6 separate regions of the Mus musculus genome follow, and regions 2, 3, 4, 5 and 6 are each reported to be linked to region 1. Evidence: microRNA targets listed by miRTarBase, many of them from high-throughput screens and not tested one by one. Region 1 holds a microRNA gene; each other region holds the end of a gene's coding sequence. Distances are between the middles of the regions.

Evidence for each region. Region 1 holds the annotated microRNA mmu-miR-467f (AUAUACACACACACACCUACA, at 1,710-1,730, shown strand). A microRNA usually pairs through its seed, bases 2 to 8, with sites in the 3' UTR of a target mRNA and lowers its output. Matches are read on the target gene's strand: a 7mer-m8 pairs with bases 2 to 8, a 7mer-A1 pairs with bases 2 to 7 and ends in A, and an 8mer does both.
Region 2: the mRNA of Chst15 is a reported target of mmu-miR-467f. The part of its 3' UTR that is shown has no 7-base or 8-base seed match.
Region 3: the mRNA of Grb2 is a reported target of mmu-miR-467f. Seed matches in the 3' UTR shown: 7mer-m8 at 3,106-3,112 and 7mer-m8 at 3,070-3,076.
Region 4: the mRNA of Ereg is a reported target of mmu-miR-467f. Seed matches in the 3' UTR shown: 7mer-m8 at 3,304-3,310 and 7mer-A1 at 3,384-3,390.
Region 5: the mRNA of Crem is a reported target of mmu-miR-467f. The part of its 3' UTR that is shown has no 7-base or 8-base seed match.
Region 6: the mRNA of Ehf is a reported target of mmu-miR-467f. Seed matches in the 3' UTR shown: 7mer-A1 at 1,674-1,680 and 7mer-A1 at 1,295-1,301.

Annotation. Positions count from the first base shown.
Region 1 is chr11:69,632,079-69,637,148 of GRCm38, reverse strand. Mir467f (microRNA 467f) reads left to right here and starts at 1,630; the gene lies at 1,630-1,749. It overlaps Fxr2 (fragile X mental retardation, autosomal homolog 2), which reads right to left and starts at 4,178. Exons shown (of 17, transcript NM_011814.2): 1 at 3,751-4,178. The coding sequence starts at 3,831.
Region 2 is chr7:132,233,960-132,239,033 of GRCm38, forward strand. It overlaps Chst15 (carbohydrate sulfotransferase 15), which reads right to left. Exons shown (of 8, transcript NM_029935.6): 8 at 1,821-4,505. The coding sequence ends at 4,315. Among named protein-coding and RNA genes, the nearest start is that of Gm10584, 79 kb to the right of the region's middle.
Region 3 is chr11:115,641,100-115,646,173 of GRCm38, forward strand. It overlaps Grb2 (growth factor receptor bound protein 2), which reads right to left. Exons shown (of 6, transcript NM_008163.4): 6 at 2,946-4,855. The coding sequence ends at 4,670. Among named protein-coding and RNA genes, the nearest start is that of Slc25a19, 15 kb to the left of the region's middle.
Region 4 is chr5:91,089,351-91,094,424 of GRCm38, forward strand. It overlaps Ereg (epiregulin), which reads left to right. Exons shown (of 5, transcript NM_007950.2): 5 at 714-4,299. The coding sequence ends at 795. Among named protein-coding and RNA genes, the nearest start is that of Gm19610, 17 kb to the left of the region's middle.
Region 5 is chr18:3,262,919-3,267,992 of GRCm38, forward strand. Crem (cAMP responsive element modulator) reads right to left here. Exons shown (of 9, transcript NM_001110859.2): 9 at 3,436-4,814. The coding sequence ends at 4,670. Among named protein-coding and RNA genes, the nearest start is that of Crem, 62 kb to the right of the region's middle.
Region 6 is chr2:103,262,365-103,267,438 of GRCm38, forward strand. It overlaps Ehf (ets homologous factor), which reads right to left. Exons shown (of 9, transcript NM_007914.3): 8 at 4,603-4,798; 9 at 1,069-4,507. The coding sequence ends at 4,408. Among named protein-coding and RNA genes, the nearest start is that of Ehf, 38 kb to the right of the region's middle.

The sequences.
Region 1 (5,070 bases):
GGGGGGTTTGGCTAGAATATAGTTCCGTGTGATGTGTGCCTAGCAAGTATAAAGCCCTGATTTCAATCCTCAACATCAAAAGCAGTAAGAAAGCCAGATGCTTCAAAAAAAAGGCTAACAATATTCAAGGACCAGCCCTAAGTACAGTAACTAGGATAGTGGCAGAGCTTAGGAGAAAATGTACCAATAATATTCTAGAGAATACAGAGTTCCCACCTCACAGACCTGGCCAGTCACCACTTACAAAACTATTCTTTCCTTATAATGAGAACATCTAACCCTGAATATTGCTTCAGATACGACCTGCTTTGGCTGTTTGGGGGGAGCCTGAGGCAGGAGGGTCTAAGAATTGGAGGTCAGCTTAGGCTACGTGCTAAGTTTCAGAGTAACCTGAGCTATCAAAGTATAAAAATCCTGTCTCTATATGGGGAGAAATGTTTTTAAAAATGAAAGAAGGGAGGAAGGGAAAGGGAAAGGAAGAAAGAAGGAAGAGATCGGAGGAGGGCTACCTGGCTGAGGATGTACTTCAGTGGAAGGCTAAGATGAGACCTCAAGTTCAAGGTTAGCCTTATCAACAAAGCAAGGCTATACAATAAGACCCCATCTTAACAGGTTGGTGGTGGCCTAAACCTTCCAAGGCCAGCCTAGCCTACAGAGTGAGTTCCAGGGCAACACAGGATATCCTGCCCCCCACCCCAAAAAAAAACAACAAAAGACAGAGGCAGGCGGGTTTCTGAGTTTGAGGCTAGCCTGGTCTACAGAATGAGTTACAGGACAGCCAGGGCTACACAGAAAAACCTTGTTTCAAAAAACAAACAAAAACAAAACAAAACACATTATGAAGCTGGGGTTGATGGTGTGCACCTGTAATCCCAGGTCTTAGGAAAGGCCACAGTAAACCAGGAGTCCAAGGTCATCCCGGGTTAAAAGCCCAAGCCACCTGAAACCACCTTAACAAAACACATCACATCCTGACAGAAAAGCCAAGTTTGATAGGATAATTCTAAAATAACTTAGACCTCAGATCTGATATTTACTGGCTCTAGAAAAATCACAGTAAAACAGTTTTGTGAGAGGAGAAAAGAATCTCCCCAAACGTAAAAGATCTAAAAAGTTAGTATCCCTTACTCACACCAAAGTTTGCTGAGTCATAAATATTAATCAGCAAGGTTTGAATAGGTAAGTATCTACATTACACTTAGGCAATGTCTTTAACTCAGTCATGGAGCAGAAAGTGCTGAAGTGGCCAGAATACAAAATCTACACTCAATATTTGGCTTTTATTAACTCTATACTATCAAAGAATCCTGTCCCTGCTTCCCTCAAATCTATCACTGCTCTGGCCCACAGAATAAAAGGATAAAAGAGAGACTTTCTGTTGGATACCCATATGTGTAACAGAATTCATGTCCCAGCCCAACCATGTCATACAGTTAATTGGAACTGAGCACTCATCTGTCCCAGCTGTGCATGGCTCCTGAGCTTCCTTAAACCAAATGCAAATATCTTATCTTGATCTCATACTCAATTTAAGAACCACTTTTCAAACTAAGAGTAGTTGTGGATGCTTTTAATCCCAGCACTCAACAAAGGCAGACCTATCCCACAGAGTTTGAGTTCAGGGCAGCCACGGCTACATAGAGAAATCCTGTACCCAGAAATCGAACGGGGGTGGGTGTGTGTGTAGGTGTGTGTGTGTGTATGTATGTATATACACACACACACCTACACACAGCTTTTTTGGAATTTTTAACATTTTGATGTTAGAAGGATACAGATGAAGACTAACATATCGAGGAAAAGAGAGCATAATAAAGAGTACTTTTTGGGTTTGTTTGGGTTGTTTTAGACTGGATTCCATTCCCCATGCTGGTTTTGAACTTCAACAATCCTACTTTAGCCTTCTAAGTACTAGGGTTAGAGTATGTACCACCATACCCAGCCTGAGGAGACTGTTTTAACAAAGGTAATACAAATGTGGGTGAAATAGATATTAAAACATTAATGTGTCCTCTCAGAAGCCAAAAGAATTAAAGACTTTTGCTACAGAAAACAGAAATGTTAGAGACACTGTTCTGGTCTGAAGAAAAAGTACCAAGAGTTAGGAAAGTGACAGAATCAGCTAGGAGCCTTCTTCAGCTATACACAGACTAGACAGGTAGACATCATCAAGGATACACAGGAATACAGAAATACCAAGCTAAAAAGACCGAGACTTAGTTGAGAAGCTGCATTAAAGCTAATAGGTATGTGCACCCATAGGCACTGGGTAAAGAACTTGATCAGAAAAGGGAAAAAAATGGCCTGGCCTTTATAATGGATAACTAGCATATCAGTTGAAGTGAGGGTAGGAACCATCTACAGGGGTAGGGCAAACCTAAGTCTTTTTTCAGCTACAAAAAAGATACAATTTCATAGTAGAGTCAGAGAAAGTTATTTCCAAGGGCATAAGAAAGTAGAAGTTCTACTAGGGTAGGGGGACAGACAACCTGAGGAAACCTGAAGAAAAAGGGGCTCTTCTCACCCATCTCATGCTATGGAAATTCCTCTTTCTCTCCAGGATGAAGAGTAAGAGAGGGACCAAACGTGTCCGGGACAATTCCACTCATAAAAGTCAAAAGATGTTCAGAACCCCACTGATCAGAAGAAGAAAATATCTGGGGCGTGGGATCCAGAATAGACTCAGGACAGATACAGAAGATGGGGTGGGTGGTGGATAGAAAGAAGGAAAAAACAAAAGTCTGGTCTGGCATGGTGGCTCAACCAGTAACGCCAGAGCTGTAATCCTAGGCTGAGGAAGAGTTCAAGTGCAGCCAGGGAGGGGATCTTGTCCCAACCACACCCCTTAAAAAAGTTCACAGGAATCAAATCTTAGGCAAAGAAAAAGCTGATTAAAGAAGCAATTCTGAAAGATACTTTTTTTCTTTCCAGAAGGATTGTCAACAAGCAGAAATCTGTTAGAATAAGAACTTGTTGAGATGGCCTTTGAGAGACAGTGAAGCTTAAACTTACCAAGAAGATAGAGGAATGACCTAAATATATCTAGAGTCAAAGAGATAAGCGTGAATCCATCCCTCATAGGTGATTTTGGAATATAGGTGTGGTGGGTGACAAACTTGTCCAACAAATCCACTTTATGGCTGGCTGATAAAAACCTGAGGCCAAAGATGCTAATGCTAAATAACACAGATGGGTTTTGACCATTTCTTGTCAGCCTGGGAACAGGAATTTAAGACCAAAAGTTGAGCAAATGGTCTAGAGCCAGTAGGCAGAAGGCTCCCTGAAGACCTAATGTGGGACAGTGGACCTTCCCAAGGGGGTCATGTAGGAAAAGAATGCGAATCCTCCATGTGCTTGGGCTGCAGGGGTGATGTGATTAAAAGCTGAAGTATCGCCTACACTAAAAAAAAAAAAAAAAAAAAAAAAAAAAAAAAAAAAAAAAAACAAGAAAAGTCGATTAGAAGCTAGGAAAAGGGCTTTCTCCAAAGGGACCCGGGGCTCCCATCCCCGCACAGGAATGACCTGATGGCCATGTTTTCAGCTGATAAAAGCAGGTGTAACAGCGAGCTCAAAATAAAAGCACGAGGGTTAACTCCCACGATCGCCACGGGAGGGTTTCGAGTGGGAACGTGGGTCGAAGGTTCTAAGGGTCAAGACCAAGCTCCAGAAACTCGATCCCGCTCCACTCTTCCCTGCCTCGGCTGGGGGAGGGGGCTAAGGAGGGTGGCCCGGGTCGACGCGCCGTCTCACCTTGTAGAAGGCCCCGTTGGAGCCCCGCACCTCGACGGGCAGTCCCGGCTCCACATCCCCCCCAGAGGCCAGGCCGCCCATGGCGCCGCCACCACCTCCGACTGGCCCGGCAGCAGCTGAAACAGAGCCCTGAGTGCGGGCCGGGCCGGGTCCCCGGCGTCTCCCTGGAGGAGGAGCCGGAGGGGGAGCCGCGGGGGGCGGGAGCCGGGCCGGCCCCACGGCGGCCCTGCTACAGCCGACGAGCAGGGGGCCGGGGCCGGGCCGCTCCCCGTCCGCCGCCGCCGCCGCTGCCTTGGTCTCCGCCACCGTGAGGGAAACGGCCGCCGCCGCCGCCGCCGCCTTCGTCACCTCAGCTTCCGCCCGCCGGCGCCCCCGCTGCTGCCTCGGTCCCGGGACCCGCCGCTGCCGCTCCACGGCCTCCACCTCCCCCTGCTGCCGCCGCCTACTGCGCAGGCGCACAGGGCACCCGCCCGCCGCGCGCGGAGCCGGAGGGCCAAGGCGCAGGCGTCTAGGCTAGCGACCCAGCTCCCGCTCGCCAGCGCGTCAGGGCTTCCACATTCTCTTGCACTCTCTCACGCCCCCTCCTGGTCGCCTCTCTGCGCTTGCGCAGAACGAGGCGAACGCTCTCTGTACCACTCCAACCTTCCACTGTCCCTGTCCCTTCCTTTCCCCGCCCCACAACACTGGAAGCAAACCAATCAAAGGGAGAGGGGGGCCGCGCTCGCTGCATCGGATTGGACTTCCGCCTCCACAAAGTGAGCCCCATGGAGCCTGGGCAATTTAGGGATGGGCATGCGCCCGAATGACTGCTTGGTCACTTTCACCACCTTTGTCTTTCTTGGTGCGCACACTCCAAAAAGGGGGGGGGGGGGGGAACCAAAAGGCAAAAACTGCCCAGTGCGCAGGCGCTGGGCTTTGGTGTCCATGCGCATGTGTTGACTCTCTGCATCCATAGGAGAATCAAGAGTCACTGTTGTTGGCTTAAGTAGACTTTTTTTTTTTTTTTTTTTTTTTTTTTTTTTAAGTTTTGTGAGACAGGGTCTCTTGTGTCCTAGGCTGACCATGAACTAACTAGGTAGTGGGGGAATGACCTTGAATAGGTCCTCCAACCTCCACCTCCCAAGTGCAAAAATTACAGCCATGTCATTACCATGCTTGCCCTAAGTTGACTAGTATTCTAGTAAATTTAGTGCCGTATGAAAAACAAAATGCCACATAACTTGATGCATAAATTCTGAGGGGATTCAATACAGGAAAAACTGTCATGGAGTAACAAAAGAGAGAGAGAGAGATGGCTCGAATACGAAGCTTAACGGGAAT
Region 2 (5,074 bases), not on the chromosome of region 1:
CTTGCCCTGGGATCACAGGAGATGCAGCCCAGCTCCCACCCTGCCTCAGCCTATAGTGCCTGGTCTGAGACTGCTGCCCTCTGGGACTGTACGATGAGAAATTCACTGTGTTTGAAGTCACCATGAAGACCTTAGCGATCAATGGGACAGGGCTGGGGTCATAGAAGCAAGGCCAGCCTGAAGCCATCACAGAGATAGATGTTAGCAAGGCTGCAGGCCATTCTTCCAAAGGCCTGGACTAAGGGGGTTACTCCTCAGAGCTCTCTGGGATCGCCAGCCATTTCAGATGAAGTGATTTTGTTGCAGCAGTGGCTAAAAGCTCACAGTCCCTGCCCCGCCACGTTCTTTCCCTGGTGCCCCTCAGGGGAGCTGGTTCCAAAGCTCAGGGAAAACCAAACTCCTCAAAGCTCATTTTTCCTGCAAGTCTCCACTAGATTAGCCTCACCCACAGGGCCCAAGGCTCTCCTCAGGATGCAGTCTCCACCCCAACAGAGAAATGCCATTCTGCACAGCACCACCCAGGCTGTTTCCTAGCAGCAAGGGTAGGGGAGAGCTCCAGGCACAGGGAACTCTAGCTTTCAGAAGTATGCCCTGGCCTGTCTGGCTTCTCAAATCCACCACCCGCTATCCTCTCAGACAGCAGCATTCTTGCTGAGGGAAGCCAGCCCCAGGCTGTGCTAAGTCTAGCTCCACACTCAACACATCACAATGAGGAGCAGGGCTTGGGAGAAAGGTGGGACTGACCAAAGGACCACGCTGTGCTCAGCATGATCCAAGCTTCTAAGTGGGAAGTAAGCCCTCTTGCAACTACTCCTCTCCTCAAATTGATGTGTTGACGTCCCAAATGGGTTGAGCCTCTGAGTAAAAAGAGAATTCTTTTTCAAAAGGTTATGAATTAAATGAGACCCTTAATGGTGACATCTTTATAAAAAGGGGAAAAGGAAGCCGGGCGTGGTGGCACACGCCTTTAATCCCAGCACTCGGGAGGCAGAGGCAAGTGGGTTTCTGAGTTTGAAGCCAGCCTGGTCTACAGAGTGAGTTCCAGGACAGCCAGGGCTACACAGAGAAACCCTGTCTCGAAAAACTAAAAAAAAAAAAAAGAAGAAGAAGAAGAAGGAGAAGGAGAAGGAGAGGAAAGGAAAGAGGGAAAGGTATCAGGGACCTGCACAGAGAGATGGTCATGTGAGGGGGGGAGGTCACAGAGCAGGCACAGGGAAGCCACAGAAAGAGGCCATAGAGAAAACAATGCACTGGCCCCCTGAGTTTAGACTGACACATGAGCAGTGACAGTAAGCATGGGTTGTGTGGTGAATGAATGTGAAATGTCCCCATGGGCTCCCATAGTTGAACACTGTTCATGAACACTGAACATGGTTGACCACTGTTGGTGCTGATTAGGAAACCTGTGGAAAGGTGTGTAAGGTGCCCTGAGTTACTTTGTTAAGGTGACCAACAATGACTGGTACACCCTCTCCTTCTCCAAGCTTGCCCATATTTCTTGAGTGCCAGCGGGACCCTGCCTGCCTAGGGATGAGTCACACTCAAGACGCACCAAGGATCTCAAACTCAAATTCTGAAAGCCCATTGTCACCTCAGTCTTAGATCCCTATGTCTGACGACCACGTGAAGGGCACTTGATGCTGGATGGAACCTCCCACCCTGACTCCCAACCACAGCAGGCCTCCACAGGAATTCCCCAGGGAATGAGTATGGCCCTGTGTCTGCTCTGGGACTGTCAGGAAGGCAGGGGAAGTGCTGACCTTCCCGCCCCGGGACTCACGCACGCGCACAGAACAGCATGGAAACAACTGGCCAGCAAGCTTGTGAAGGAGGACTCACTCTTGGCAGGCACCAGTTGTGTGGGTCCATCTTTAATTATTTTAAATATGAGTAAAAGTACAGAATAAATGTGACTCGCATATCATACCTTACACGACAAGGGAGGGAAGGTGTCATACACCCTGGCACACGGCTTTGGGAATACGAAGTGTCTTCGGTACCAGGTCTGTGTTTCGCTTTGGTTTGGGGTGACAGGCTCAAGAGCCATCACCCAAAACACTGCCTGTGCTCTCAACAAGAGGGGGCTCCAACCGAGCAAAAGCAAAGGCAGTGCCGGTGACCCCCGGGGAGGGAGCAATAGAGAGAAGACTGGGTCCGGATGGCCACGCATGGCGGAAAGGAAGGGGCTGCACGTATAAAAAAAGATCAGCAATGAACCAAATAATATTGGAAATAATACCTTTGGCAATACTTCTGTAAGAAGCAGAATCACGCGACATGTTATTCACATGCATAGGAGTGCGTCAGAAAAAATCTCTTAGAGTCGTGGTTGGTGTGGGGCAGTAAGATATGTCCTGGAAATGACAGGCGAAGGGTTGGAGAAATTAATTCATAAAGGCATCATGTCTCTAATGGAGGAGAAGCCCCATCAACAAGACAGCTGAGAGGGCCCTGCTCAGTATAAGCACGAGTGTTCGCGCGCACACTCGCGCGCGCACGCACACACACACACACACACACACACACACACACACACACACACACACACGGTATTCCAAATAAATACTCTCTCGTGCTCTTTCTCACACGCTTGCGCTTGAGCTTGCGCTCTCTCTCGCTCTCTCTCTCTCTCTCTCTCTCTCTCTCTCTCTCTCTCTCTCTCTCTCGTCATTTCTTCCCAAAGCATCCTTGTACTCAGGCTAGATTTTCCCACTGGCTGCCGAGCCAAGTGGCCACCGTGAGAGAAGGGAGAATTGTCCTGGAACACAGGCCACATGACACACAGCCCCTTCAGTAGCAGAACGAGCCCAGTCCATGCTGATGCCCAGAGCTCTCCCGGAACCTTCCAATGAGCTGAGAGTCCCATCTCCAACAAGGGTGGACCGCAGCAGAACTCACACAGTCGAGCAACTGCACAGCCTCCTGCTGCCAAAGCCCAGCTTTTCTCACACGTCCAAGTGACAGTCGGGCATGTGGTGTGTACACTTTCTGACGCTGGTGAACAGGATCCTGACCTGAGAACACAGCTTCACAGGCAGCATCCCTTGGCAACGCTCCAATGAAAAGCTTTGTGACATCCCCACCTTGTCCTGTGTGCCAAGTGGGTTTAAGTTGTTCTCTCTGGTATTCCCTGGGGTCTTTTTTTTTTTTTAAAATGACAAGACTTTCAGCATATCCTTTGCGAACCAAGCTGCTAGCAGGCCTGGAAAGGTTCATAAAAATCAAAGCTATCTCCTAGTGACACCACATGTGGCCCGAGCTTAGTTTGTGAGATGTGTTTCTGAGGACATTCTAAGGGTGTCTTGAGACTCACCCTTAGTGAGTTACAGAACTTTGGCTGCACATGACAGAGAATGTGGATAAAGATTCCTCCAACAGGAAGACAGGGGGGAGCCTGTAACCAGCCAGAACCAAAAACATCCCCACACTCTCCAGTGACCCCCACAAATGGGGAGGGCTTCACTTCCTTCCTTTTCCACTGTTCGATGCCTTGAGGTGTTCTGTTCTGGCATTAACAGCAAAACTTCCCTTTCCAAATATAAACTGAAGTCCTTAAGGAAAACATCCAAGGGAGCAGAAAAGAGAGGCAGGGCCAGTCAAATGCGAGAAGCAGTTTGTTTTAAAACGCTCCTTCTCTACGCTGGGCATAAACAAAGTGTATGGGCAGAATAGGTCAGAGAGACGAGCCTACTGCCAAAAGCTGACTTCTGAGTTTCTTCTGAGCACAGCAAAGGGAACAGGGCTCATTTCTGATGTCACCGAAGGGCTGACTTGGGAATACGAACAAAAACGAAAGAGCCTCCATTCTCCAAGCAGCTCTGTTCTCTGTCCACATGGGGTTGTCGATTTATGCAAGGCCTGCTGGGATATAACACGTGAGGGGCAGCCCCAGAACATGGCCTTAATCGGATCCCAGAGCTGTCCAACCCTACACCCAGACAAACTCTCCTGGAGGAAGGAAGGCAAGGCTGGTCTATGGCCTCCCGTAGCTTCCTCTTCCTACCCACTGGGTGCCAGAGATCCACTGCCCTCCTGAGATCCAAGGCACTCTGGGAACAGACAGAAGCCTACCCCCAGTGTCGTTTCCAAGGCTTCAGGTGGACGAGCCTTGCAATCAAGAGCAGAGCTGCTGAACATGGCAAGGAAAGCTTTAAAATAGTTCCCACACCAGGTGCCTTGGACATGAGAAGAGGATTGGGTGGGGCTCCAGCGGCTTTCTCCACGCTGTGGGTGACAGTTCTCCGCCTGGAGACTTTTAAAGTCATGGCAATGACAGAGTCAGTGGGCCCAGCTTCTGCAGAAGGGACTCAGCTCTCACGTTGTCTTCCAGGCAAATGCTTCGTCATCCAAGACCTGTGCCAGCCTTGTGTTGAAAGGCCCATAGAATTCACGCAGAATCTTCTGGGTGATGGGCCACATGGGTCCCAGACTACGATCCTCAGGACGCCGTGTGTTGGATGCAGGGCTCTTGGTCATCAGAGCTTCCTGCTTCTCACTCAGAGGCCCTAGAATGAGAAGGAAAATGGTCCTGTAAGGTCCTGGAGGTGTCACTTGAAATGAAGGGGACTTCGTATGAATCCTAGGTGACCCTCATGCTCAGCCAAGGCTTTCCTATGAGATGTGGTTGAACAGGAAAGGTGGCTTAGTGGTTAATAGCACTTGTTCTTGCAGAGGACCTAGCTTCTATTCCTAGCACCTACAAGGGGCTCATAATCATCCATAACTCCACTTTGAGGGGATCTGATACCCTCTTCTGACCTCTGAGGGCTCCAGGTACACACATGATATATATCTATATCTATATCTATATCTATATCTATATCTATATCTATATCTATATCTACACATATACACATACATGCAAACAGAACAAACATAAACATAAAATAAAACAAATAAATCTTTTTAAAAATAAAAAAAAAAGATATGGTTGGATTCATTTGGAGAAACCAAGGAAGGGGGAAACCACTAGACACTGCAAAGTAATTCTAAAGCTCAGGCTCATGCCAGCCATCAGGGGAGCCCTGCTGGTAGTGAGATGGTGTCCTTTCACCTTTGGGCCACCTGAGAGTTC
Region 3 (5,074 bases), 46 Mb from region 1:
TTGCCTACACTAAGCATGTGCTTCAACAGTTACACCTCCAGCTCCACCTATTAATAACTGTCCAAAGAACTATACCAACAGATCAACCTGATGCTATCTTCCCTAACCACCCATCCTTACCCCATTTGCATACCCCACTTCCTGTCTGAATTCACCCAGCTCGTGGCTCACACCGAGGTTTAAGCATCTAGGCAGAGGAACACCTCCCTGGCGGTGCAGTCGAAGACCCGAATGTGGTGATTTCCAGGCTCGGGATGACTCAGTGACGTCTGCAGCGCAGGAGTGGAGGAGGCTGCTCATTTGTGAGGCATAAACGTGGCTCTCCTCAGCCAGTTCCTCATGGGGGAAGTCCCCTTGATCCAGAGCAGAAGAGGCCATGACCCCTATGGAGGACACTGTCACCAGGGGTCCTGAAGATGCCCCGAGGAGATGGGAGAGGCTGATGTACATCCTCAAGCCTTGGGCAGCACAGAGAAGGGAAGCAGAGGCAGACAGGGGAGTGCTGACTCAGACCGAGAGCACGGTGCCTTTTAGGCCCCATGCCAGGTGTGCTGAAAAGACTGTTGCTGGATCTGCTCTCAGTGGTCTCTATTCGAACAGAGTACAGTATGCCTTGTAAATTGGCTCTCTAGATCTTGTCTCTTCATGTAGCCAGGGCTGGTCTAGGAACCCTGGTCTTACCATGTAGCTCAGGTTGGCCTAGAAGTCTCCATCTTATTCAGTACTGGGATTATCAGCAAGTACCATCTCTCTTAGCTCCTCCAGCCTGTACTTAATAGACAAGGTCTCACTGTGTAGCTCTGCCTGGCCTGGAGATGGATAACAGGGAGCAGGCTGGACTTGAACTCAGAGATCCCATCTGCCTTTTCTCCAGAGTACTGTGCTCCAAGGTGTGTCATGCCTGGCAGTCACACGCACACGCGCACACACACACAGTGTCATAGTGTATAAAAGTCAGAGGCCAACATTCCCACCTTCCATCAGATGGCTCTGAGGGTTTGGTAGCAAGTCCCTTCTACCTGCTGCTCGGCCAACTCGACTGGGTTTAATTAATTTTAAGTGGGCTGGCCAAACCCCAGTACTCAGAGTCATCAGCACATGGGACTGTCATGTCAACCATCAACAATGTCCTCCTCCCTTAAACTTTGTCACAGACAATGGAGCTCTCAGTTCTGTAGCCCAGAGGGACCTGGGATGCAACCTGATCCTCCTGCCTCAGCCTCTGGAGTGCTGGGTTACAGGTGTGAACAGCCATTCCCTGTTTTGCTTAGGTTTGTGATGGTAACTACCACAGAGAGGCTGAAGAGACCCCAGAACTCCACACTGGGCTTCATGGTATAGGCCGTGAACATGGTCTTGGCTCTTAGGAGGTGGAGGCAGTTCCCAGGACCTGCATGGCAGCTTACAACCTTCTGTAACTCCAGTTTTAGGTCTGATCCTGTAGGGCACCATACTCACATAGTACACAGACATATATTTAAACACTCATACACATAAAATAAAAAATGTTTAAGAATCTCCAAAATTTTGAAAACAAAACCAAATAAACAAAAAAACAGATCCAGGGCTGGAGAGATGGCTCAGCGGTTAAGAGCACTGACTGCTCTTCCAGAGGTTCTGAGTTCAATTCCCAGCAACCACATGGTGGCTCACAGCCATCTGATGCCCTCTTCTGGTGTGTCTGAAGACAGTGACAGTGTACTCATATACATAAACAAATCAACCTTTAAAAACAAAAAACAAAAAAAAAAAAAAACATTGGGTCTGAAGGCCATCTAGCCCATAAGCAGGCCCAGGAATGGTGTCAAGAGGAGACAGCTGGCTGGTGCTGTCAGATGACCTAAACCAATGTAGCTGTCCATCCTAGCATTTCCGATCTCACTCTGCACCTGGCTCCTGGTGCTCGATGAAGTCTTGGGACCAGGAGGGAGCAGCAGGGCCACTATGATGGGCCAGGTTGGCTAGTGGTATCCTCAAGGTTTTGCATAGCCTAGCCTTTATCATGAGACACATTTGAGCTGGCCCTGGGCACACATACACAGCCTGGATAACTCACCAGGAATCTGACCCAGGGGAGGGGCAGGACACACACTGTGATCACCTGAAGAACAAAGAGGGGGCTCAAGGAGAGTGTGCTTGTTAGCAAGTGTAAAACACTGGGTTCTCAGCACTGGGGAAAAAATGACACCCCCCCCCCCAATCAGGAAGGGGTTAAACTGACACAAAGGGAGTTCAAAGTCAGCCCAAGCTCTCTGCTCAGCTGGCCCAGACAAGCACAGCTCCCTCTCACATGCACATCACCGCAACGGGGAGGAGCAGGTGGCACCCGGGAGCCTCCTAGCCACCAGTTCAGGTGGTTTGCTCGGCAGAATCCTCTTTTGTTCAAGCCTCAACCCTTACCGCGTCATAGCCAGCACCGTGTGGTTACCAACTTTGTCTCACCCAAAAGACCACTGTCACGGCTGTGTCATGTAGCTGCCTCACCGACTTCCTCAGAGATTAGCCTTTCCACACCCTCAGCTCGGAAGGGAAGAGGAGCTTTCCAGCCCAGCTCTGGGTTCTTCTGAGTTCTTGTCTAAACCATTTTCCACATAATGAGCTACATCACTCGTCCTAGGTTCACAGGGTCTGGAGATGCCGGCCAGAGTTAACATACTCTAAGCCTTTACTTTCAACATTTGGGAGCAGAGGCAGGAGAATCTCTGCGAATTTGAGGCCAGCCAGGGCAACATAGTGAGACCCCATCTATAAAATAAAATCAGGACGGGCAGTGATCCCAGCACTTGGGAGGCTGAGATGGGCGGATTTCTGAGTTCAAGGTTACCCTGGTCTACAGAGTGAGTTCTGGGACAGCCAGGGCTACACAGAGAAACCCTGCCTTGAAAAAAATAAATAAATAAAAAAATAAACTGAAAACACCATCAGGGAGAAATGAAGACACACAGTTAAGAACTCATTGTACGTTTATTCACAGTTAATCACTACCTACCAAATTGCTGTCCGCAGAAGTCAGAGTAAGTACATAGTTGGTTTTTTTTTTTTTTTTATTTAAACACTGATCTTTAAATATATACACACAAAACTTAGTTCAGCAAGGCTTCATGATATACACCAATTCCAAAATAAAACAATCACATGGCCCAGGTGTGACTCCAGAGATTACTTTATCATCAGCAGGGAGAGCAGCAGCGGAACCAGGAGAGGTGGGGACCCAGAAGGCCGCCTCCGAGCCTTAGGGGCGCCCTGAGCTGAGTCCATCTCACAATGCTAAGTCCAGGGGAGACTCTACCCGCAAGAGTCTAGCAGCCCATGGATGCACCGACTCCAAGGGAAGGCCTGGGTGGAGCCCTGCTTCTGCTGTGGGAAGGAGGCAGGGTGGAGAGAACGGTGTGCAGGCACGTGACTACAGAGGACGGAAAACTCACAGAAGACAAGAGTTAAAAAGCTGTGCACTGGTCTTGGTCTCTCCTACCTCGAAAGGCTTTGTGGGATGGAGGGGTGGGGTGGGGGGAGGGGCAGCACAACCCACTGCCAAGAGAGATGCGGCCGACCCCACAATCCTGCTATCTGCACCCTTGGACAGGTGGGGAAATACGAGCGTGAAAAATGAAAGGCCAATTCTCTTCAAGCCCATCTGCATGTAGGCCTATAAGAGTGAAGGATGCCAGGGCTCCTCTGACCGTCTTGTGTTTGGATCAGTAGCTCCAGGCATAGAGAGAGCAGACCATAACTGAGACACGGAGACAGAGACTCTGATGTCCACTGAGTCTGAGCTGAAGCGAGTGTTGCAGCTCACAAAGTAAAAGCTGAGGCTTCGAGACCTCCGGCCCATTCAAGATGGGAAATACACTCTCTGCTTCTACCAGCTCCTTTCTCTGTCCTCTTTCCCCTGCCCTGAGAGGAAAATATTTACACAGGATAGGAGACGAATCAACTGAAAAGCTCTGGACTGTCTTTAACTTATTAAAAAAAAAAATGGTACAAATACCATTTATGAACACCCTTGAAATAAGACAAAGGCACTATTTAAAAAAAACAAACAAACAAACAAAAAAACGTCAAAACACCTGAAGGGAAGCAGTGGGAGAGGGGAGGGCCTGCAGTCTGACTCTCAGGAGACCGGGGAGGACAGTGGGCCTCCTTCCCCTAATTCCAACTTTGATGGAATGCTCCAGGCCTGAGGCTGGAGGCGGTACCCCTGGGCATCTCGGGTGAACCCCAACCAGGGCCCCAGAAGCACTGGCTGCCCCTGTGTGTGAGGAATCCGGCTCTTTCAGTCCATCCATCTCCACAGACATTTTGCATAGAGAAAATACCAGCCCACTTGGTTTCTTGTCTTTTATTATTGGCATCAGCTGGACTATATGTGGCCTTAAACATCATGCACTGGACAGGAAAGAAAGAACGAGAAAAAGGACACAGGAGGGGAACAGGGGTAGCGGCGAGATTCCGTAATAAAAACTGTAATTCATTCAATAGGTTAAGTTTTGGCATTATGAAATCAAACACCCCTCCCCACCCCCCAAAGTTGCAACCCAATGAGAGGGTCACCCGTGGGACCCAGCCAGGTGTTCTGCGTTCCCTCACAGGCTGTGACAGGCAGCGTGTGGGTGTAATTCTTGTGAACGGTCTTAACTTTTCACTTTCTTTAAATAATCTCTTTTGCTTCTTAGACGTTCCGGTTCACTGGGGTGACATAATTGCGGGGAAACATGCCGGTCTGCCCGTGGCAGGCCCCTTTCCACCAATTGGGATCTGAGTTATCCATGACATGAATGAAGTCTCCTCTGCGAAAGCCCAGCTCGCCATCCTCCTGGGGGTCAAAGTCAAAGAGCGCCTGGACGTAGGTTGGCTGCTGCAAGAGAGAGCAGGGAAGCGGTGTTTCTCATGCTGCCAGGCGGCCTTGGAAGCTGGACTCCTGGCTCCCCCAGGGAGGGCAAGCATGTGGGAACCCGCCCACTTTCCAAAGAAGCCTCATACCTCACTCCCTCCGCTCTGACACACTCCTAAGTCCTAGGTGGGATTAGAGGAATCCTTTATTAACATTTAAAACCCACAAGGGTATATATACCCA
Region 4 (5,074 bases), not on the chromosome of region 1:
GATGTTTTGCTGCATAGCACCGGGGTTTCATTCAGTCACTGACCTCTACTGTCTGCCTATGTGCATATAAAACTCAAGTAAGGAACATAATTTATTCATAACATACAGACAGAAATTCTCATCCTATAATAATTAAGGTTCTTCGCTTACAGTGAGTGGTATTATTACAAAATGATAACTAAAAAGAAATATAACTAAAGATTGTCAGGGTTTTTACTTTGACTGGACCTGTAAAATTGAGAATACTAGAATAATAGTGTTAATAAAAGTGTTTGCAGATTATTTTTATTAGTTTGAAGTTGGTACAGATTGTAGTGATTTTTTCCCCCAGAAAGTCATTGTTTAGATTTTGTACTAGGCAGCTCTCTGATGATGATGCCTTCCTCACTATATGTACCAGAACTTAATACGGGTGAGCAAAACTGATAGAGAAAGATGCTGGAGAGTCACTCCTGTCATTTCTCAGCTTTGTGCCCATGTCAAGCCCTGGGAGAAACACTTGTACAGTGTTAACTGTGTCACCATGTCCATTTCTTACCTAAACGGTTGGACAATGGGACACCGTTCTCTTGCTTTCTTGCTTTACCCATTACCTGACTCAAACCTCCTCTGTCTGGGCATTTTACATAAGCTCTTGGAGTCTATGTATTTATTTCAGGGCCTGTTTTTATATCTGTTAGTTACAGTGTTGTTTCATTTCTGTTTATTTACAGGTACAAAAATCGAAAAAGTAAAAAATCGAGGGAGGAATATGAGAGAGTGACCTCAGGGGACCCAGTGCTGCCACAGGTCTGAACAGTGCCATCAAGTTACGGACAAGGATTCACAGTGTGCCTGGCTGATGTCAATATTTTCTCATGTTAATAATATTTATGTTGGGTCATCTGTTAGGTCAATAACTATATTTTTAATACAATTGGAAAGTGTTTTATTTTTGACAGAAATATATTTGCTAATATATTATATGTAAAATATTTAATATCAAAAGAAATTTGATATTTTTGTAAGAATTTCCTGAGTACAATGCTTTATTGAAAAGCTTCAAAGTTCATTAAGCTGATGCAGTGCTTAGAGAGAGCAATGTCCAATCTGTGGCTTGGGAGGTGTCTGCAAGTGACATTCCTGCGAGCTTAGTGATATGGTCAAGTCCATTGCATCAGTAATTTATTTTTTTCTTCTTCTGTCTGTGATAATTGACTTGACTGAATTATGGCTTGGCACAGTGGTTGGCGAGCCTCGTAGTATAGTCAAATCAATTGCATAAGTAATTTATTTTCTACTTCTTATGTCTGTGATAATTGCTTTGACTTTATTATCATGTATTAAACAGTAATAACAATGGGACTTAGAGGAGGTAAACATAACTTATGTGCCTCAAACCAGCTAGTCCTGGACAAGATGTCTCTTCAGTATCTCTGCTATTGGGTTCAGATGTGTCTAGGGGAACAAAGAAAAATTCATTAACAAACATTAGCTGCTCCACCTATGTAGAGTATATCATGTGAGGTTGTTGCTTTGAATATCAATCAGAAAATCCACATCTGAAGACAAATTTGAACCCCATTTTAGAGTATTTATTTTTATAGGGAATTTACTGAAGGATTGTAGCATTAAAGCAGAATCCAAATCAAAGTAATTGTATTTTTAAAATACAGGAGGGCGGGCGCTAACCAGATCTTGACTGATATGGAAACGTACTTTTGTATTTCATGCTCAAGAGGAGTTTTGTTTTTGCTTTTTGTTGTTGTTTTGTTGTTGTTATTTTGTTTGTTTAACATGGAGTCTCACTCTAGTCCAGACTGGCCTCAAGCTCATGGTTAACTCTCCTGCTATAACCTCCTGGGTTACAGTCATACATTACGGTGCCCAGATTCAAAATGGTTTTTCTTTCTTTCTTTGTTTTGTTCTGTTTTTGTTTGTTTGTTTGTTTGTTTTTGTTTGTTTTGTGTTTTGTTTTTTACAATACACAGTTCAGACAACATCTTTTTACAGATTTTAAAGCTTCATTTAAAAAACATATATCCAAATGCAGGAAGCAAAGAAAATACAGGAAAAAATAAATCACAATCTATTTTTCCAAAGGGGAAACACATTTGAAAGCTTTTAAAATGTAGACTTCATTATCCATACCCATGGAAACTAAAGAGAAGCCTGCCCCATTTCTTCGTCCTTTGTTTGCCTTTGTGGAAAGACAGAAGGCTGGCCTCCACTCTCAGCTTGCAGGTCTTCGTGAGTCACTGAGAGGATTCCAGGCAGCTATCTCGAGAGCCACTGCTAGAACACCTTTTCCTGGAGGCTGCCCCACCAAATGCTCAACCTTAGGTGGAATCTCCCTGGAACACATACCAGGTCAGGGAGGGCCGATCCTTCCTCCACCTTTTTCCTGGCATATGTTTAAGGTAACAAAAAGATCAGGAGTTGCCTCTGGCCTCTAAAGTGCCAAGGGACCAATCATTGATGTTCCATGGAGCCAGTCATGGAAATCCCTGGAAGGTTCACACAGCTCTCATCCAAAGCCCTGGCCTTGCTATGAGGGAAAGATTGAATAAGCAGCGCACAAGGCATTCTGGTGCACTAACTTGTGCACACACCAGCTCCAGCCTTTGCAGAATGACAGCTCTTTGTTTCTGAAGTAACCAGCACACCACACTCATGTTTAAAAGGACAAAGGGGAATGAAGGTCAGTGAGATCTAAAAAGTGTATTTCTTTGCCATTTGATTTGGCTGAAGGACAGTCAGCATCCTGTGTGAGAACACATTTTGAAAGCCCAATGACATCAACTGGGTAAAGGAAACACTAACCTGTTTCCAGTCTCCAGACAAAGGTTTAAAGCTTTTCAAGAACTGGGCTAAAACTCATCCAGTTTATCTACAGAAGCTGAAAACAGGCGTTTTAGATATTGGTATATTGGTATATGATATGGTATGATGCTTATGGTCTGCTATGAGCATTCCTGGGCATACCACATAACTAGATGCAAGAACCTTGGGGTAGCATTCTGTATTTTTAAATATGTTTTAAAAGAACTCAGGAACAATTTACGTCTCTGTATCTTTTTTTTACTATTGTTGTTTTGACCTCAAAGCTGGGAATAAAAGTCAGAGCCTTACACATGTCCAGCAAAAACTATGGTTGGGATACACCTATTATCCCCTAAAAACATACAAATAATGCAAAAGGATGATGGAGCTTCCTGGTGTCGGGTGAACATGTTTTAAAAACTCATTGTTCTAGTGAAGATTATGTTAAGCAAGCCTAAAAAAAGATGACAACCAGTTCATACACAGATTTCCCATTATATTGTGTATACACACACACAGGGACATCAACAAGGGTAGTACACACACTATACTGAGAACCAAAGCAACCCCAGGTGCATAATTGTATAACTTACAGTCTCCCATCAAGACTACCTCATAGTCCAGTAGATCCACTCCGTGACCAAGGACATCATGCTCTGTATTTGACAGTAAAGTTTTACCTTAAAAATGAGACCCCCAACTACCTAAAGCACCCATCTTTGTAACTAGACCATAACTATACTGCTTTCATCTGGTTCACCCCCTCTATGTCAAGAGTCAAACTGTGTGAGAAAAGCCAAAGATTTTTTTTTGAGTCCTTTTGAAGACAGCTAGCTAAATTTGCCTGCCAAAAGATGTCAATTATTGAATTGATACCTGTTTCTAGCAAATATATGACATGGCCTAGTGTCTTAATTTTTGTCCCACTCCGTCAGTAATTTGAAAAGTTGCCTTTAAATCTTTTTATTGAACCAAATTTGTCACGTTTGGTTCAATTTTTTATTTTGTAGATTTCTTTTAAAGTTTGATTGATTTCCCCGTTTTTTAAATCTTTTCTAATGTTCTGGGAAAGGGGGAGCATAAACAGCACTTTCAGGCTACATTTTAAAGTTCTAACGGAAAACTACATTTGTCTAAGATATCTCTGCTATTGACACATGATGCCTTTGAATGTCATAGAGCATATTTTCTCTTTTTGCCTGTTTGCACTCTGCCATTGCACTTTGTAAATCTGTAGAATCGCTCGTATAAAATTTCTATTAAAGATTCTAGTGAAACATAAAGTTGTATTGTGTTCACCTTAAAACTTATTGGATTATGAATGTTATCAGAGTACTGAATTGTATCAATTTGTTTGCAGTTAATATCAGCTTTGATAGTCATGTACCTTGACATAGTGAAGGACACTATAATGTATGAGTTGTTGTCAGTTTTTATTTATTTTTTGTTAGGAATTGGCCAAGATCGCTATGGAAAAAATAAAAGAACAAACACATAAAAAGGCTGAAGTCTCTCTTCCTTTTTCCCTTCCCTATTTGTGTCCTAGCATATTGGGGGGGGCTTGAAAGTAGTGTCGGAGTTTTAAGGTGTGGTAACAGAAAGACACAGTGCTCTTAATTTGGGAAAGATCCCATATATGTACCTCATTTTAGGGGCTAATATATTGAAGTGTTACAATAAAAGGAGTCATTGATTTTAGGTGTTACCATGTTTTCAAAGATTATGCTAATGGGTATTTTAATATGCCCTATGACAAATGGCTTTTTAAGAACTGTACCAGCCAGAAGAATACTCATGATTCCTTAACCTGTGCCCCAAAGACTCAGTTTCCTGGCTTTCCATAGGAGAAAACAGTAGCTAGGCCACATGTACTTCCTTATACATTGCTCCAACAATCTGCAAGGCATTTCTTGTTGTCCCTTTGTAGTGGCTACTAAATGTATACTTGACCACTAAGTCATACAAACCAAGAACCCCTCTAGAGGTCTTTACTGATTTATGACCTCCCTGAGCCTTTGATAGCTTGGGAACAGTGAGGCCATAGCCTATGACAACTGAATAGTAACTAAAAGCAATGGGTGGAGCTACCCTGAGAAATGAGGTCTCCTGACCCTCAAGCCACTACAATTCTGACTGTGTCAGAGACAACAGAACTCAGTGGAGAATTAGCATCAATCTAACTCAGTGTTTTGTTTTGTTGTTTTGCTTTGTTTTGGGCAGGGGGAACAAGAATTATTATTAATTGGAGATTTTGAGATCTCATATAACAAGC
Region 5 (5,074 bases), not on the chromosome of region 1:
TGACTGCTGATTTGTGGAGGTGTTGTGATAGGACAAATCATTTTCTATGGTGTATTCTTCCTGCTTAGAATAAAGTTGTGAACACGTGGAAAGTGTGTGACTTGTTTTTCATTTTATAAAGGTTCTCAGTTAAGATATTTTGGACTTTCTAAGATTTTGGTGAGTTTTCAAGTTGGCCTATATTTCATGAGGTAAGTGGGAGACTTCGGATAAAAGACTGTGACTTTAAAGTAATATTTTTGCATGTCAAGTTTACAAAGGATCAAGTTGTGAACATTCCTTTTAATTGTCAATTTGATACAATGTAGAATCACCTGGGAAGATAGTCTGAAGTGAGGGATTGCAGTAGTAGCCAGGAACTCTTTCTCTCTACTTTGACTGTAGATGTGACATGACAGCTTCAAGCTTCTGCAGCCTTGGTGTTCCTACTTTGATGGAGTACAACCTGGACTTGAGATAAAATGAGCCCTTTCAACGTGCAGTTGCTCTCTGTCAGTATATTCTACCACAGCAACAGAAACAAAACTAGGACATGAGTGATCTCAAAAAACAACTAAGGCACATTTCATTTGAGTTTCTAGAAACAAGGAGCTGCTACAATAAAGCAGAATGGAATCAGGATATGTTGTGGAGAGCCAACCAGTGGCGCTTGTGCTTTCCTCACATGTCAAAATTATCTGGTTTTGGTATGTGCAGGGAAAAATGTGTTGGTTTTAAGAGCCTTTTAGACACATAGAAGAGAGTGTGTGCTGGACATAACAAAGAGTCCATAAAGGTATTTTCTGTGTCCTCCCATTATATGGGACTTACCATCATAAAGTGTCCACAATCATGCTGTAATCTCATAATCCAGCATGAGTCATTTGTACAGCCCATAACCTAGATTCTAAAACTGTGAAGATGGGTGGGGGAGATACAGTGACAGCTCTCAATTCCACATGACACTGAAGTACAGGATATACATATAATGTTCATGAAAATCTTCCAAGTTACTTCTCACTCTGCTCTCTGGGAGACAACAGGCAACACCTGATGGTTCTGAATGAGTGGCAAAGGCTTGGTTTATGGAAGAAATTAGATGAGAAGGAAAATGAGTTCCTGTGTATCTCTGAGAGTTTAGCCCAAATTCCAGCTCTCTCCCAAGCTGTCCTTAATTTTATGAATGCTTTTAAGCACTGATCAGTCCACAGAAGCCATTCCTAGTTGCCTATTTACTACTTTTCCAGACCCAATCCTGTCTCACAAACAAACAAGACAAGACAAGACAAGACAAGATGCTGTGAGTGCCTGTCCGTTCTAGCCTTGCTGCCTAGAAGTGTGCCATCAACATTAGGATCAGGAACTAGGAAAGGAGGATGGGCTAGGTGAGGAAAGACTCTAGCCAAAATTCCACTGTTTAAGTAGCTGAATTAAGGTACTTGTGGGATCTCCTGTATGTGGACTTTTTGTGTGATATAAAAAAATGTCTCCTTACTATTTAAGCTACTTACTATTTAAGTGCTCCCAGCATTCCCAGGTCAAAATCAAACTCCTCCATAAAGTCTCCTCTTTTAATGCCACCTGCTTCTCTAACCTGAAACACCTCACAGGTTGACATCTGGTCTACCAATTCCTTTGTCTTGCTATATTACCCAAGAGCAAACAACTGCTCTGGCCAAGGGATGCACTGTACTTCACCTGAAACCTGGGCTTTCTTTCCCCATTTCTTTTTGTATTGTGTCCTCAGCAGAGTATAAAAGAAATCACAGAAAGGAGATAAAAAAAATTCAGAGCTGAGACACCACAGAAAAAAAAATTAAAATAAAACTCAAATTGGTATTTCTGCTATGATGGTTAGGATGGTTTTTTTGTTTGTTTTTTTCGAGACAGGGTTTCTCTGTGTAGCTCTGGCTGTCCTGGAACTCACTTTGTAGACTAGGCTGGCCTCGAACTCAGAAATCTGCCTGCCTCTGCCTCCCCAGTGCTGGGATTAAAGGTGTTTGCCACCACCACCTGGCTAGTTAGGATGTTTTAAAGATTTATTTTTGTGTATGAATGTATGTGCAACGTGCATGCCAAGTGTCCACAGGGATCAGAAAACTGCATCAGACCCTATGGAGCTGAAGTTATAAACAGATTTGAGCACCATGTGGGCACTGCAAACCAAGTACAAGTCCTCTGAAAGAGCATCAAGTGCTTTTAACTCCTGAGACATCTCTCTAGTTCCTATGCTGGTGAGTTTTATAGATTTTTTTTAAGATTTATTTATTTATTATATGTAAATACACTGTGGCTGTCTTCAGACACACCAGAAGAGGGCGTCAGATCTTGTTACGGGTGGTTGTGAGCCACCATATGGTTGCTGGGATTTGACCTCATGACCTTCAGAAGAGCAGTCAGTGCTTTTACCCGTTGAGCCATCTCACCAGCCCTGCTGGTGAGTTTTAATTGTCAACTTGACACAGTCTAGATTCACCTGTGGAGAGAGTCACAATGAAATATTGTCCAGATGTGGTTGGCTTATGGGCTTATGTCTGTGGAAAGTTACCTTGATTCTGTTAATAGATACACACCATTCACTGGGTTTGAGTCTTGGATTGTGTAAGAAAATGAGCTGGTAACCAGGTATGCATAGTCATTTTCTCCCTGTCTCTCGGACTCTCTGTCCCTCTGTCTGTCTCTCTGTCTCTCTGTCTCTGTCTCTGTCTCTGTCTCTGTCTCTCTCTCTCTCTGTGTGTGTGTGTGTGTGTGTGTGTGTGTGTGTGTGTGTGTGTGTGTGTGACCAGCTATTTCAAATTCCTGTTGCCTTGACTTCCATGCTTTGATGGATTATCCAACCTGGAATTGTGAACTAAACTAAGCTCTTTCTATCCTAAGTTGTTTCTGTCAAGAGCATTTTATTGTGGCAACAGAAACAAAACCAGGACCTACATTTTAGAAGTTATAGGTAAGGAAAAGTTAAAGATAAAGAAATGGTAACTGGGTGCCAAACCACCTCCTACCCACTACCAGATCCACTATCAACCCTGTTGACAGTGAAGGAAGGTGGGCAGGTTCTTAACAAATCAGAGATCAGCCATAGGCAATGCAGCGACTATAGCCCACTGTCTAATCCGTACCTGCTGGTGAGAGAAAGATGACATAGCACAGGGTTAGGGATCCGAGCTTATACCTTGAGTCTTTTCCTTATAAAAACAACTATGGACGCTACTAGTAACAAAGCTATCACAATTGTAATGAATTTCATTTGAATGTTCTGGCATAAGGATATTTTATCATGGACCTGGAGAGATGGCTCCGTCATTTAGAACATGTGCTGCTCTTGCAGAATATCTGAGTTCAGTTCCCAACACCCATGTTGGAAGGCTCACAACTATCTATAACTCTAGCTCCAGGGGAGCTTTTGGCCTTCTTGGGAACCCACATTCACATACACATAGACATACACACAGGCAATTAAAAAGAAAGTAATATTTTATAAAAGAATACTTGATCAAACTGGATATTCTGGCCCACATCCGTAATCCAAGCACTCAGAAGGCTGAGGCAAGAGAACTGTGAGTTTAAGGCCAGCCTAAACCTACGTGACAAATGTACACAGCTATATTCCAAAGAGCAAAACAAAATTGATCCAAGTTGTAAAATCAAAAATGACATCTTGGGTTGTTTTTTAAACGTTAACATTCCTGAGGTTGCAAGAATTCACAATGGAGGGTCATCAGCAGAAACTCTCCAGACGATCAGCAAGAAGCCTAGTACAGCACAAAGGCTAACCTCTAACCTCTTCCCCTGGACCCCATTCCATTTGCAGAGCTTGAGGTCTTCCCTTTCAACTGAACATGTAGCATGCCAGGCAAGTGCTCCACACTGAACTCTGCTCCTAGAGCCCTGCAGTTGTCCTCTAATGAAATGGCCCAGTATTTGCAAGGCTGCTGATCCAGTGTAGCAATAAATTCATACTTGTGGAACTCATTCCAGATAATGAAAATATGTTGTCTCTTTCATTAAATAACAGCAAAGCAGCACAAACTTTTGTAGAAATTCACATACTACATACATAGTAGGAAGCTGTAGTAAATGCTCAGATACTTAAATAAATACCAAATAGTACAAAGAGCAACCAACATGGTTCTATTTAAAACTGTCTTCAACTGTGGCACCCAAGGACAGCAATACAATACTTTCTTTACAAAGTGACGATTATAAAAATCTATAAATGCATAAATTCATTTGTAGGCTATTCTCACGTAGTCATGTCATCAGGATACACTTCCTTTCATTCTTTCCTGAGGTATCTCTATGGGTTGATTTTATCTTACTACTGGAGAGATGCACTGCCTTTGATCACCCTTTCCTAAAATGATTCTTAAAACCTGCAAAATTTTTATTGCATAGGACACTATTCATGACAGAGAGACTGGGAACTGTAAATATGTTGCACTGGAACAAGTCTTACAAATACTTCATTTTAAGAATTTGTTACATACATTTTTTACAGTTTGTCTCTTCTAAAAAATTGACCTTAGAGGTAAGAGCAAATTAAATACAACAAAGCATCTTAGGAATGTTAGTTTTAGAAAGTTAGATGAATGATACAAAGGAAAAAGCCATAATTCTTGCCGGCTATATATTGTATTGCATTCAAAAGCAACTGTACATGCTGTAATCAGTTCATAGTTAAATATTTCTACTAATCTGTTTTGGGAGAGCAAATGTCTTTCAAAGTTTCAAGCTCCTCTATAAGCTTCTTGTTCTGAACTTCCAGCACTGCGACTCGACTCTCAAGACACTTCACATACTCTTTCTTTCGACGTCGACATTCTTTAGCAGCTTCCCTGAAAAAAGTAGAAGCAGAAGGGCAAACAAAACATATGTTGCATGCTATTGGCAATAGAGCAAGCTTGGTAATGTGAGGGGAGCTGCATTCCAACCCATGGAACAGTATTCCCAATTCACACTCTACAGCAGACTGTATTCTTAAGCAAGGGTTAAGAGACCCATCTACAAGTCCACATGGCCATTATGAGGATGCTGCATCGCCTGCCCCGATTAGAGTTCACAGTCAACAAGGTCCAAATCAAACACAGTTACTCTG
Region 6 (5,074 bases), not on the chromosome of region 1:
GTATCACCAGCTTGCATTGTATATATTACCCAAGCAATTAGCTATTATTTCCATTACACCCGTGGGGTTAGGTGACAGACTCAGGTCCAGAGAGAAAGGTGCCATCATAGAGCAGAGCTCAGGTATTGAAAACAATATGTGCATTATCTTAGAAGGCAGAATGAAAGAGGAAGCTATGCTGCATCCCACAACTGAGAATGTACACCCAGCACCAAATGCTGTCCTACAGTTCATTCTTGGGACAACCATCATTTGAACTGTGAGTTAAAGCATGAACCTTTGAACTCCCCAACCTTACACAAATTGAGGACTGGACCCTTCATGTGTGCCTCCAGGAGTTCTGTGCTCTGGTCTGCCCTGATTGGCTTCTCTTTCATTGTGCCCAACCATTGTGAGTCTATTTCTGCAAAGTCTACTTACTGTTCATTAGATATGACAGTAACATGCCTGCCTCTGGGCCTTCACATTTGCTGGTCGTTTGGTATGCCACACTCTTCCAGTCATCTAAGGCTCCTTCTCTTATAACTCTTAGTCCTTTACCAAAATGTCTTCTCAGCCCTCCCTAAACTAGCCACACAACTCCACTTCTTATCCTCTCCAATCCTTTCCCTTGGTCCACACATCTGATGTGCTAGGTTTGATTTTCCTTATCCATTTCCACCTAAAAGAATATAAGCTACATTAGAGCTGAGTATCTTTGTCTGTTTCATGCTCTATGTCTGGCACAGAAGACATAAATGCCAACAAGTGGAGACTGGAAAGATGGCTCCACAGAAAAAAGTGCTTGATGCTGTTGTAGAGGACCTGGATTTGGTTCTCAGAACCTGCGTTGGTACTCACAACCACCTGTAATTACAGTTCCATAGAACTTGACACCTCTTCTAGTTTCCAAGGACACCTGCACACACATGGTCTACATTCAGAAAAACAGGCACACACACACATACACACAAAAAATCTTAAAAAGAAAGAAAACCACTGAGTGCTAAGCAGATACCAAAGCTGTCCATGTTCTGTTACAACATTTAGTCTGTAGGGTGGATTATCCCAAGGAAGGAAACACATCTCCAGCATGGCCTCTGTGCTTTTTATTAGTGTTTTCTGGGACCCATCAAACAAACAAAACAGAATTCTTTCATTAAACATAAATTGTTTGAATTTAACAGCTTAAGGGGAAAGAGTCATGATTTAAAAAATAATAAAAATAAAAATGAAAATAAAAATAAAACAGTGGCAGAAGGGTTGTCGCCCACCAATTATCAACCCAGAAGCCAGGTGGCAAGAAGAGTGAGATTTATACAGATAGCTACAGAATGATTAATCCAAATTCAGCTGAACTCTGAAGTCTACATGTTTCAAAAGTTTGTGAGATACAGTTCCAAGAAGTTTGGTTTTCTTAATGGTCTCCCTTATTCCAGAAACTGAGTCCTGAGTCCCCAGCTGAGGGTAACTCACCTGTTAACACTAAGTTTGCCATGCTGGTGTTTCCTTCTCTTAGTCAGTATTCCTCTGCAGGTCCAGATCGTGTGACTTTTATAGTCTATTCTCTCACATATACTCCTCACATATATGGTGTTTCACTATGCACAAGGCACCCAGTAGGTGCTTTAATAAAGTACTGAAAAGTAATGTAAGTGCTTCCCCTTCTTACTGTTCTCCCTTTTCTTATATTTTTATACATTAAAAAAGACATACTTGCAAAATGAAAACCTAACATGCATGACTAACCTTATCAAAATATCCCTCAGCATTTTTCAAAAAGGAAGAAAAAAATAACAAAAAATAAAAACCAACCCCTAAATACCAAAACTGAAAATGGGTTCCTGCTTAAATAGCAATTGACATCATATAAACACATTTATAATCTTCGTTGATTAAATAGATCAAGGGTTCGTTACTGGCATCTTGTAACCAGGTTAAGTCTCACAGTTCTAAAAAGCAACAGAATTCTCATCCAGCAGACACTGACATGTGGAACCAAGCAGGCTGTTTGAATTTCTTTTCAGCATAGGTGGGAGGCAAAGGAGAGTGTCACAGTAAAATGTTCTCATCCTGGAAGGTTTAGTTATTATGCTCTGTTCTGAAGAAGTGATTCACATCCCAGTTATGAATATGACTGATGGGTTCCCAGCCAGAGGAGTCTCCCAGAAGACAGTCATCATTCATTCATGAGAAGTTCTCCTGTTGCATCCCAGGTATGAGGATAACAGAGGTGATCAGACATGCTCCCTGCCCTTGGCGAGCTTACAGTCTAATCAGCTGGGAACTTGAAGGAAGGCTCAGTGAATGAAACTCAGGCATTGTCTCTCCTGCTCGGCATACCGAAGAACCTGTGGACCTGTTTCTGGGATCCAGGACCTTGCTTAATTTCATCAAGTCCTATAGGAGTCTCAGATGATCTGAGTCTTGTGAAGTATTAATGGTCCATTACTTGATTTCAGTTCCCATGGAAACCACTAATAGAACACTTAGGAATATTCAAGAAACTATATTTAGTGATCCTGTGGCCAATTAATCTCAGATGAACTTAATAACTAGGTAACGATCCCCTAAAGAAAGAGGTGCTTTTCTGTAGGACTTTCATGTCTTGTTTTGTTTTGTTTTTTTTCAAACTGTGGTGGGAAGCACACCACTACACCCCAAATTGGCATAGCTTGATTACCTGGAATTCTCAAAGTCATGAATAGCACATAGAAAACACCGCAAATTCAAGCCAAGACAATAGATATGCAGAGAACTTAATACTCCCGTCTATTTAAATGGGAACTGGGTGCCAAGAAACTGCCACTCTCAGCCAACAGCATAATCTGTTTATCTGCAGAACTGTTCCCACTGGTCCTCTCCAGATTCACCTACTCTCTGACAGCAATAGCTCTATAATGAAGTAGGTGTAGGAAGGGTCAAATCCAGTTACAGGAATAAGAGAACCCAGGAATAAATGAACCCAAGACATGTGGTCTGGCCATCCTCGACCACAGCCAGGGAAAGACAGGGAAGGAGAAGCAGAGAGAAAACTGACAGAGGCCCCTAGTAACTTCACAAACACACACACACACACACACACAGAGAGAGAGAGAGAGAGAGAGAGAATCACACAGAGACATCCATAGACTCTGCCTTAGGCACTGTCTTCTGCAATATCTGCATTCTCTGTGCAAACAACTTCTCTTGCACTTTCCATACATCATTGCATTTATTTGACTTTGGTTTTCATGTGAAGCTCTGAAAAGAATCTCCTCCATTTATTCTCATCCTGCTGTCCCTACTATTTTAAAAAATAAACATATATTGACTTCAAGGTCTTGCTTTTGCTTTACTCTAGAGACTAGAAGTGTCTATAGATCTCTCTATTCTGAGACTGAACGACTGCCTTCATACTGTCCATTTCAATTGGTGGTCCTCGCTCAAGGGTACTATTGTCCTCCTAGAGACATTTGACAATATCTAGAAACACTTCAGATTGTCACAGTTACAAAATGCTGATGGAGGTCATGGATATCGCCACACATTTTACAATGCCCAGTATAACCCTCACCACAAAGAATGACCCAACCCCAAATGGCAACTCTACCCATGGAGAAACCTTGAACTACAGAGATACAAGAGCATGCTCATCGATCATTTCCAGGCCACTATTTTCCTGTCCCACTTAATTTTCAATATTTGGACTGAACTCTTCAATAGCTAGAAGTGACTGCATGTGGTAACTGACTTTTTTAACCAACCATTCAAGGATGAAGGGTCTACATGAAAATTGTCCATAACTGAGGATAAACTCTTCACCTGCCGTATTTAAACGTTCCCAGTCCTGTGATCATGCTGTGCTTATAGGCCACTCTGGACTGTCAAAGTTCCTACTCTCCACTCACTATCTCCCAATTCAAGTCAAACTTCCCAGCATCTTTTGGGTTGATCCCACCAATCTGAGACCCTGGACTTTGTCCTCCCTACCCAATCCCATTTCTCTTGAGGTCACACAGATGCTTAGGTGCAGAGAACACATTGCCTTTCTTTTCTAAACCATTTTACACTTGAAAACATTTAATGCCCTCATTTCCTATCCCTTCCTCTTAGCAAGAAGCACAAGGCTACAGGCCCTGTTGTTCTTGGGGGTAGAAAAGAACTTCACGAAGAGGCAACAGCAAATCACAATCACATACAGCTTCATAGTTCACAGAAAACTGTGTACATTTGTTCCCCACAAAAGGACATACTTCAAAGTAACAAAATAATTTTTTTTTTATCAACTGTAGTGTTCCTTCTTCCCGTCAGAAGTAGATTTTCTTTGTCCCTTCATGGTACATAAATATCACAGAAAAGTAGTCTTTGAGATATTTACGTCCGGTTCTTCATTGATCAGAATCCATTTGCTGTGTGTTTTGGTTTGTGTCCCAAGGGCTGGCAGCCTCAGTTCTCATTTTCTCTCCATCCACGAGCATTCTTCCCAAACTTATAGACCAGCCGTCGTCCATCCACACGTTCCAGGATTTCTCGTTTGTAGTAATATCTGTAAGAAGGAAACAAGTAAGGTGGCCATTCAGCCTGAGCGGGCAGGGAGCACCAGCTCTTGGCCTGGCCATGGAAGAACGTGAATTAGCTCACCTCATAGCCCGGCTGAGCTTCTCGTATGTCATGCTACTGTTATTTTTCTTTTTCCCCCACAGCTGAGCCACAGCTTCTGACTTCAGGAACCTGAAGATGCCTTCCGAACGGTCTTCCCATTTGATCAGTCCTGGGTTCTTGTCTGGGCTCAAGAGAATGTCTCGGATGAACTCCCATAAGTGAGTGCCTCTTGGGTCTGGTGGAAAGCAAGACACAATGGCTTAGCAAGGGTGCAAATCAGAGAACAGGACAGAGAGAACGAATGTGGAGTGACAGCCTCTGCCTTGAGATATAGAATCACCAAATAGTGCTTTTAGAAGGAACAACTAATACAGCTGGGGACTGGGGAATCTCAGTGGTTTAGCCAGTGCCACACAGTTTGACTACTAGCAAAGCCAGGACTAAAGAATCGCTGTTAACCATGTAATTCAGGCCTAGATGCTTCTAATTATTGTTCACAAATACCCTGGGC